Bombyx mori: one gene and its partner. Each later gene encodes a partner of the first gene's protein in a complex. Links are inferred from orthologs where the notes say so. Each region holds a gene or a part of one and is shown in the gene's direction. Other genes may lie near its edges.

The links. Proteins that work in one complex are often made in the same cells at the same time.
Region 2: serine-threonine kinase receptor-associated protein (region 1) and gem-associated protein 2 share a complex: the UniProt entries of both Homo sapiens proteins name them as parts of the SMN-Sm complex. The link is inferred for Bombyx mori from reciprocal best matches to the Homo sapiens genes STRAP and GEMIN2.

The regions. Positions count from the first base shown.
Region 1 is NC_085123.1:9,320,076-9,324,387, forward strand, and holds the start of serine-threonine kinase receptor-associated protein, read left to right. Parts: upstream 1-1,493; 5' UTR 1,494-1,718; coding exon 1,719-1,833; intron 1,834-2,003; exon of another isoform or gene 2,004-2,270; intron 2,271-3,011; exon of another isoform or gene 3,012-3,043; coding exon 3,044-3,178; intron 3,179-3,751; coding exon 3,752-3,910; intron 3,911-4,312. Other genes in the region: GPI inositol-deacylase, read left to right, coding at 1-218; signal peptidase complex subunit 1, read right to left, coding at 995-1,276. UniProt on the Homo sapiens protein: The SMN complex catalyzes the assembly of small nuclear ribonucleoproteins (snRNPs), the building blocks of the spliceosome, and thereby plays an important role in the splicing of cellular pre-mRNAs.
Region 2 is NC_085111.1:13,069,529-13,073,756, forward strand, and holds the start of gem-associated protein 2, read left to right. Parts: upstream 1-1,424; 5' UTR 1,425-1,673; coding exon 1,674-1,901; intron 1,902-2,959; coding exon 2,960-3,272; intron 3,273-3,885; coding exon 3,886-3,985; intron 3,986-4,228. UniProt on the Homo sapiens protein: The SMN complex catalyzes the assembly of small nuclear ribonucleoproteins (snRNPs), the building blocks of the spliceosome, and thereby plays an important role in the splicing of cellular pre-mRNAs.

The DNA.
Region 1 (4,312 bases):
TACAACAAGTATGTGATAAGGAAGATGTTCAAAGTTCTACCATTGAAGGTACAAATGAATCCAAGAATGATAATGATGAAAAACCAAAAGAAAACCAAAAAGAAGAAGCTGATAATATTCAAACGAATGATTGTGATCCATGCAATGAGAACAGAATATTTGATGCTTTTAAGAATCTTCAAGATAAATTTGATTTAACTACAATGGATAATTTGTAACAACTTGTGTACTTGTTTTGTTTTTGAAATATTTATATAAATAGTATTTGTAGGATTGTAATAATGATAAACATTGAGCAACAATGAATGCCATAATTTGTCACAAATAGGAAACAAGTAAAATTTTTGTTGAAATGTTTGGTTTGCATAAGGAATATATGTGATTTAAACAGAAAATGTTTTCTTTCATTAAGGTACCAATTTGGATATTCATACCTATCATTGTTCATAACATTGACATCAACACTGAAATACTAATAAGGAAATACAAACCGAACCTGTAAAAATGATAATTTTTGTAATTATTGGTGTTAAGGCATCTTGTTAGCCCACATAGGTAGTTCCTACAACCTTATTTCTGCTGTAAAGCAGTAATGTGTTTTAATTTGAAGGATCAGGCAGCCATTGCTCTATAGCACTAACATTTAGACCTCATGTTTCAAGTATGACATAATTTATGTTGTTCATGCCTATGGGCCTCATAACCACTTCACACTAGTTGGACTGTGAGCACATCTATCTAAGTAACTAATAATAGTTTCATTTTAAAACATTTGTCCTTAATAGTAAGAGTTTATTTTTGTAGTACGTGCATATATTTCTTAGCTAGTTTAAAAGTTCAAAAGATTAATTTGGTACATATTTTATAATAGTGCGTTTAAGTGTGTGTAAACTAAGATTGACAGTTATGTAAATAAAACAAAATTAAAACTTATTAACTATTGGATATATTTGAGAAGTAAAAGTTGTACAGACAAATTTTGAGATAATGAATTTCACTTCTTTCCTTTCTTGGCTGCTGGTTTGTCATCACCGTTCTTAGGAACCTGCCAGTTCAGAGGATTGCGTCGGTACATTGGCCATGGAGGAACAGTAAGAATGGCAGCAAGCAGAAATCCAGCACCAAGAATATACACTGACTGCGAGAATTGCTGAACTATATAACCCCATACAAAACCAACTATACTGAACAATGTAATTATTGCCCTGTATAATTTCTCTGCTTTTGCTTGTCCGACGTAATCTATGTGGGTTGGTATAGATGTAAAGAAATCCATCTTGCTAAATTAGATTAATATCACTTGCCACAACAACAAATTATTTTGAAGAAACTTATCAGAAGTAACCAATTAAACGGTCTGACATTAAACGTCAAGCAATAGACACGTCAATACTAAATTGACGTCGTCATAAAAGATATTACCAGTATTATAAAACTGATTTCTAAACGTTTCTTTTTATTAGCCAATATTTTTTTTGTTCTTCCTAAATTTTATTTTATCAAAAAACTTTTAGCCATATCTTAAAATTTAGATGGCTTGCAACAAAGCTATGTTGATAGTAGTTTTAAGATATTTTCTAGTAATACTGCTTTTTCCTTTCCGTCAGTCGATTGTCAACATTCAGTACGATCAGACTCATTAGGTTAATTTTAGTTTTACAAAAAGATAATTTAGTTTTATTTTTCCAAAGTACAACAATCAAAATTAATTTAACAAAATGACAACGCTTAAACAAGTTCCTCTTACATGCGGTGGCCACACGAGACCAGTCGTGCATTTGGATTTTAGTGACGTTACAAAAGACGGATATTATTTGATTTCTGCCTGCAAAGGTAAGTTTTTATTGTTTATTCGTTTGGGGTGCTTTTGCCTTAGTCGTGACATATATAGGAAACATAATTTTTTCTAATATTAGTGGGGTGTGTTTCACGTTGACAAATGTCGGGCGTCGTGCTACGTTTATGAGACCTTCACTTTAGTTGTTTTGTTCTGAACAGTAGGTTTGGCCGGCGTGCATTCTATGCATGTTGCGACCTTCTCTTTCCGGACATGCAGGAAGCACCTTGAATATCCACTTGTGTGTTTCCTCGGCGCCAGTTTGCCTTGGGCCGCGTCGTGCTTTTTATTCATGTACTAGAGGCTAGTGCATGACATACAAGTTTTTCAACTTTGAATGCATACAAATTTGGAGCGAGCTCGGAAGTTTATTCCTGTATTAAATTAAATGTTGACATTTCACTTATTCTGGGTCACCTTGTACCAGCTCAAGGTTTGTTGTACTTGACATTATTAATAATGATATGGGAGTTCTGACAACATAATACTCTAACACAATGACTTATCTGTAAATTTTATTATAATGAAAATCAGAAATAAATGATAATTATTATAATTTTCACTTCCTTGTATTGCTAATGTGAAATTAATTATATTCAAGTCTTGGCTTACATGTTTTGTTTGTATGATATCCTTGGTTTTAGCTGTTACCTGTTTTGGTTCTGATTTAATAGTTCCATTAATCTCTGATGAATTAATCTTTTTTTTATATGTAAATAAGTATAAAAATCAGGAAATAGCATACTTGAATGTTGTTATTATGTAGTGTAGTATTGTTTATTTATTTCCTTGTATAATTAATAGTTGTTATCATGTTTTGTGTTCTTTTATACAAAATCAGAATTTTAAAATAATATCAACAGAAACTTATTATGAGTTATAATCTGGACACTGAAAATAATTTAGTAGTTGTAAAAAAGCAATAACCAGATATTTTTAAACATAACAAAACTAAAATGTAATAGCAACTAGTTAATTTACAAAGAGCTTTAAACAATGTATGAGCTATGATTGTCTTTTACTATCATTATATACTATCTCATGTATCAACATAGTTTATGTATGAATGCTTAATTTGTCTAATTATTTACATAAATGAGCTATCTTCACTGTTAACAAGGTTGTTTATTCCTCATATTTTATTAATATGATTTCTGGTTTTGCTTTTATTCAGATTATAATGTAATGGCATGTTTTGTTATTAAGATGGCAAGCCTATGTTACGACAAGGTGAAACTGGTGACTGGATTGGAACATTTGAAGGTCACAAGGGTGCTGTTTGGGGTGTGGCACTTACACAAAATGCAAACTTGGCTGCTAGTGGGGCAGCCGATTTTACAGGTAAATATTAAACAAGTAAGTTAAACTGCTTTTATTGAAATGTAAATCTGAAACTGTACACTTCAAATAAGCTACTAATTAGATTAAGGATATCACACTGTGAGTGATTATTTTGTACTTTAATCTCATAGGTTTGAATTTTTTGTTTTATTAATATGATCTAAAGTTATAATATTTTTGTCATTTACACAAAATACCATGGTCTACTTTAGCCACTGACTTACTAAAATAGTAATGAAAGAAGCCAAAAATATTAAATGTTTAAGCTCTGAGTATTTTCTTAGATATGTACTTAAAGTGCTTTGTGAAGCTAAAATGCTGAACAAAATACATATTTTTTGAAATAAATATAATAATATAAAAAAGTTTTTTCATATTAAATTTCCATTCCACTCTGTGATATGTGACCGATTTCACGATTTGAAATAACTAAAAATATGCCTAACCTATTTCGAGTGTGTAGATTTTGAGTTAATGATAATTTTTGGTCACAAAACCCAAAATAGTAAATTTAGTAAAAAGTGATTAAAATAACTATTACAAATTACTTAAAATCAAATTTTATATTTACAGCAAAATTGTGGGATGCTCGATATGGTGATATGGTCCACACTTTTGAACATGAACACATTGTGAAAAGTGTCAATTTCAATGCCGATGACACATTGTTGGTGACTGCTAGCAATGAGAAACTTATACGAGTTTTTGACCTCAACAAGCTTGAAGCTGGACGTATGTAATTGTTGCTTAATTTGGTTTATGTTACTGTTTAGACTAGTTTTTGAATGAATTAAGACCACTATAGTAACTATGAACTAAAATTTCTTTATATAATCTTATTATTGCTTTATTGTTACGTAGTTACTGGAGACCATAGATATGACAAACTGAATACAGCAAAAAAGGCTGGTATATATTATCAAAGCCTACAATATGTGGTCTGAATTTTAATATTAATCTCATAGAAAAATTATGTTGATTTCTTTTGTTAACTGATGACAGTCAAAATATTTTTGACAATTGTGGATCACTCCTTTTATTAGCAATAGTGGTCCGATCAAAATCCTGCTTACTTGCCTAGCATAAATGTTCTTGGTGGGCGGGTGGTTAATTAATTTTACTACAAATAATAAT
Region 2 (4,228 bases), on another chromosome or scaffold:
CCCATTCTGTTGACTTAATATATTCAAGTTCCTTTCTCAAAGTCTGTATTCTTTTTTGATGCATTTCTTTCTTTTCACAGTGTTTAGATTGCTCTATGCTGTGACCAAGGTGGACATGGTTTAATGATTGATCAAAATTTGGTATTCTGTTTTGTGTTGTTACCTATAACACGAGTTTTTTATTTATTATTAAGGAAAAAAAATATTTCTAGGATTGGAAGCATCAATAAGATATTTTATAATTTTTAACGACATCACTACAATAATTTCATTATCAATAAATAGCATACATACTTGCGGAGTTTCTGCTTCAGATGAGGAATAGGTAGATTGTGAAAGATTGCTAGATGTAGACATTACTAGTACAAAATACTACAAATCCTTTCCTCATAAATTCGCGTATTATGTGTATTAATACCTATCTATGTTAATCGCTACATAAAAGGAACCAACCGTATATTTAAACCTCTTTACAACACAAACGAATTTTAACTTTTGTACTAATTTGTACTTACAATACTTTTTTTATTATTATTTTAAGAGATTTTATGACCTGGTAACTAAGACCTTTAAGCCTTGACTTATTTAATTTTCATTGTTATTTATTTATATTTTTATGAAAAATGAAATGTGCAATAACTGTGGTTTATTAACTGTTTAGTATCTGTGAAAGTGCATAAATGTAGGAAAATGAAACAAAGCCGCTGAACGTAACTTCTGATAGGGTGGATGGACTAGCGGCTATAGCAATTAATTAAAACGTAAATTAAATACTTGAAAACATTGTGTTGACTTGTATAAGAGAAAATTTAATTCAGAATGACACCGCACATCAAAAGTAAAAGGAACATAATACAAATTCAAATATAATGCATCATAGACAATTATACGTGGACAGCATCACAACCTTCCAACAACTTCTCGTTATCTTCCAAAAAGTCCACTGAAAAAGTCTCAGTAAATGACCACCATTTTACTGAGTTTATACTTCATCCCATATCATCTCATCTCATTTCATTTTTTTCGTTTTCATTACATTTCATGCTATGTTTCATAATAATCAACTTCATTTCATTTCATAATATCATTTTCATATAAAAAGGTACGTATCATTAAAATTAAAAATAAGACTTGACCTAAAGGTCTTAGTTACGAGGTCATAAATTCGCCTAAAAAAAATTCTTTCTCTGATATGGTAGCGTTAAAGTTTAAACGTTTAACGCAACCTTGTTGAAAATCGCATTAGAAGTTTCACTTCAAAAATGCTATCTTTTCGAATCTGCACACTACTGCCACAATCTACATTTACGTGATAAAAAAGCCCGATTTTATAAATCAACCATGGAGTTAATAAGTACCTACAACACTAACTCTATGAAATCAACATTAGTAACTATTTATTAATAATCTGTGATCAACATTCCAACAGCTGTCAGTGCTGTCACCGTACACCAATCACTAATAAAACCGCGTTTCCGATCACAAGAATGAAATTATAGAAAAATATTGTCCAAATAATAAGTGTTAATAACTATGAATATTGCTGTACGGGCTATATTTCTTTTGACTGCCTAAATAGACAAAACAAAAGTATTATTTATTAGTCATTACATATATATGTACTATGAATTGTTAATGTTATAATATCTCAAAGCTGTAATTTAGTGAAAAAGATGTCATTGAAAAAGTACTTGAAAACAATGAAGGATGATGAAGATAATTTGGATATAGTATCACCGTGCTTCAAAATAAGTCCTGATGTGCAATTAAAAGAGGTTCCAACGAACGGTGAAGAATATTTACTTAAAGTCATAAAGGAGCGTAAAAACATTGCAGCAGTTACGAAATGCAACAAAGATTATTCAAAGTTTGCCGAAAATCAGTCTCAGTATGTGCATGAGGTCAGTGAAGTTCTGAAAAATGATTTTAAAAATGATTGATTAACAAAATTTACATTCATGTAACCATGATGCCAATGATTTTGAAACGAATTTCTGGTGTAATATCTGCATCTGATGTAACTATGGAAAAGGTTGGGTACATTTCCGCATTGTTCTAAATATCTGCACCAGTAGCTAAAGTTGTAAAACATTTTTAAAATCATTATCTGCATCAATCTAATTTTAATGTTTAGGTCACCTTTTTTCACCAAACCGAGTTTGATTTCAACTATCAAACCTGGTTCTATATGATATAATTAAAATAATAAATTTGTATTAATTAATTTTCAATACACAGAGTTAAGCTCACTTAACTGTGCAAAATGCAGCTGAGATGTCATTTTATACATAATTTTCATTATTGGCACTGATAAGAATAATTAAAGATTTTTAATGTGTACTAAATCAAGAATAATTAATTAATTGATGTCCCTTTTTTATGTTTATTAATATGACTGTACTAATCTTATTCATTCAGGCATAGTAGGTAGTACTAAAAATATATTTGTAAATTATAATTCAAAACATTCACAATAGTAATTTGTAAAATATAAGTAAAACAATAAATACACTGATATTTTATCTTAATAGATTCATACCTTGGGACATATTCATAAATGATTCATTCCTGATGCCCGAATACAGTCTTAAGATGTCTACACAAAATGTCTAAAATGTCTGCAAGATGTCTACACAAAAAATGGGCTACACAAAATTATTCAATGATCATGACCATAAAAGTCATTTTGTAAAAATAAAAAAGTTAATAATCAGCTCACAAAATTGTATATCCTGTTATTAATTTATGATCTGCACTATTCGTAGAAAGCAAACTGCAATTACAGCAGAATTAATTTATAGTTATTAGTCACTGATGGTTTTTGATGGGTGGTCTCAAGATCATTCGTTAAATCTGTGAAATAATACATAACAGATTTTAAGAATATAGTTTTAATAATTTGGTGGCTTAGTAATGTTATTGTAATTTGAATAGATGTCTAATGGAAATGTCTTTTTAGTTCCCGAGGCTATCAGTACCTGAGAAGTTAAAACCTACAATTGAGTGGCAAAACATGCAAGTAGCAGATTTCTCAGAAACTCGAATGTACATATCTCGTTTGCTGTCAAAAAGGAAAATATGGAAAAACAATATTAATATTATAGAAATAAAACCAACCTGTGTAATTGAATGGAAACAGTTCTTCAGTACCCATATTCCAACATTATCATGCGTGCTCGGATTACAACATGCATTACTAGACCAAGGTTTAGAAGTACTTACTGATATTATTAGTAGAACGAAACCTGGTAATACTATAGAACATAAAACAGGTAAGTCATTACTTTACACTGTACATGTTCAGAAGATGATTAAGAGCCGTTAATTAAATTTAAATGGATTTGAACTTCTTCATGTCATTCTCAATAACAAAGTTTGTGGATTTTATATTGAAGTTTTCTCTATCATCTTCCTATTGATTAAGTACAGCTCTTTTGTAAAGAGAAAACTTAACCTGTTTTGTTACTCTCAGCAAACCAAATTATTCATACAGCATACATTCTGCCACTATTCTTTATGTGTTCCATAATTTTGATTCGATCATAGCATTTTGTCTTTACTTTAACTTTATACAAAATTATACAAGATTTTGTAACAACAAGTGAGCTTTATATGAAGAGAATAAAATCAAGATAATAGTAAATTTGTAATTGGGGTAAGGATGATTAGTGAACGCTTTGTAAGGAAATCACATATCAGCTCTCCCAAAAATCCACTTTTAAAGCAGAGATTTCGTAACCACCCAACCTACCTGTCAAATTAATATATATCAATTTTTAAACTTATTTATAGAATACATTGTGTTTTACAAACCATTTTTTTTTAGTACAAATTGTTCAGATGCATACAGAAGAAGTTTTTATTGGGTGGCCTTTTCATTTTCAGGTCAATGGGTATATGCGTTTTTGGCCTGTACCCAACTACCTCTATTGTCTGATACAACAAGTATTCTAAGAAATTTAGCTCGAAAGTGTGCTGAAATAAGGTAAATATAATAACACCTATTGTTATTTACAGCAGGTGACCACAGCTGAATCATAAACAAATGTAACAAAGATTGTGAAAAGTGGCAGTGTGAAATTTTTCAATTATTTAACAAGGGCTTTTACTACCTATACAGGGTAGCTGGTAAGATCCGGGTGAGAGAAGCCTACAATCATGCTGTGGTGTGCAATTGGATAGGCCTATGTCCAGCAGTAAACTGCTATAGGTTGATGATGATGACAAG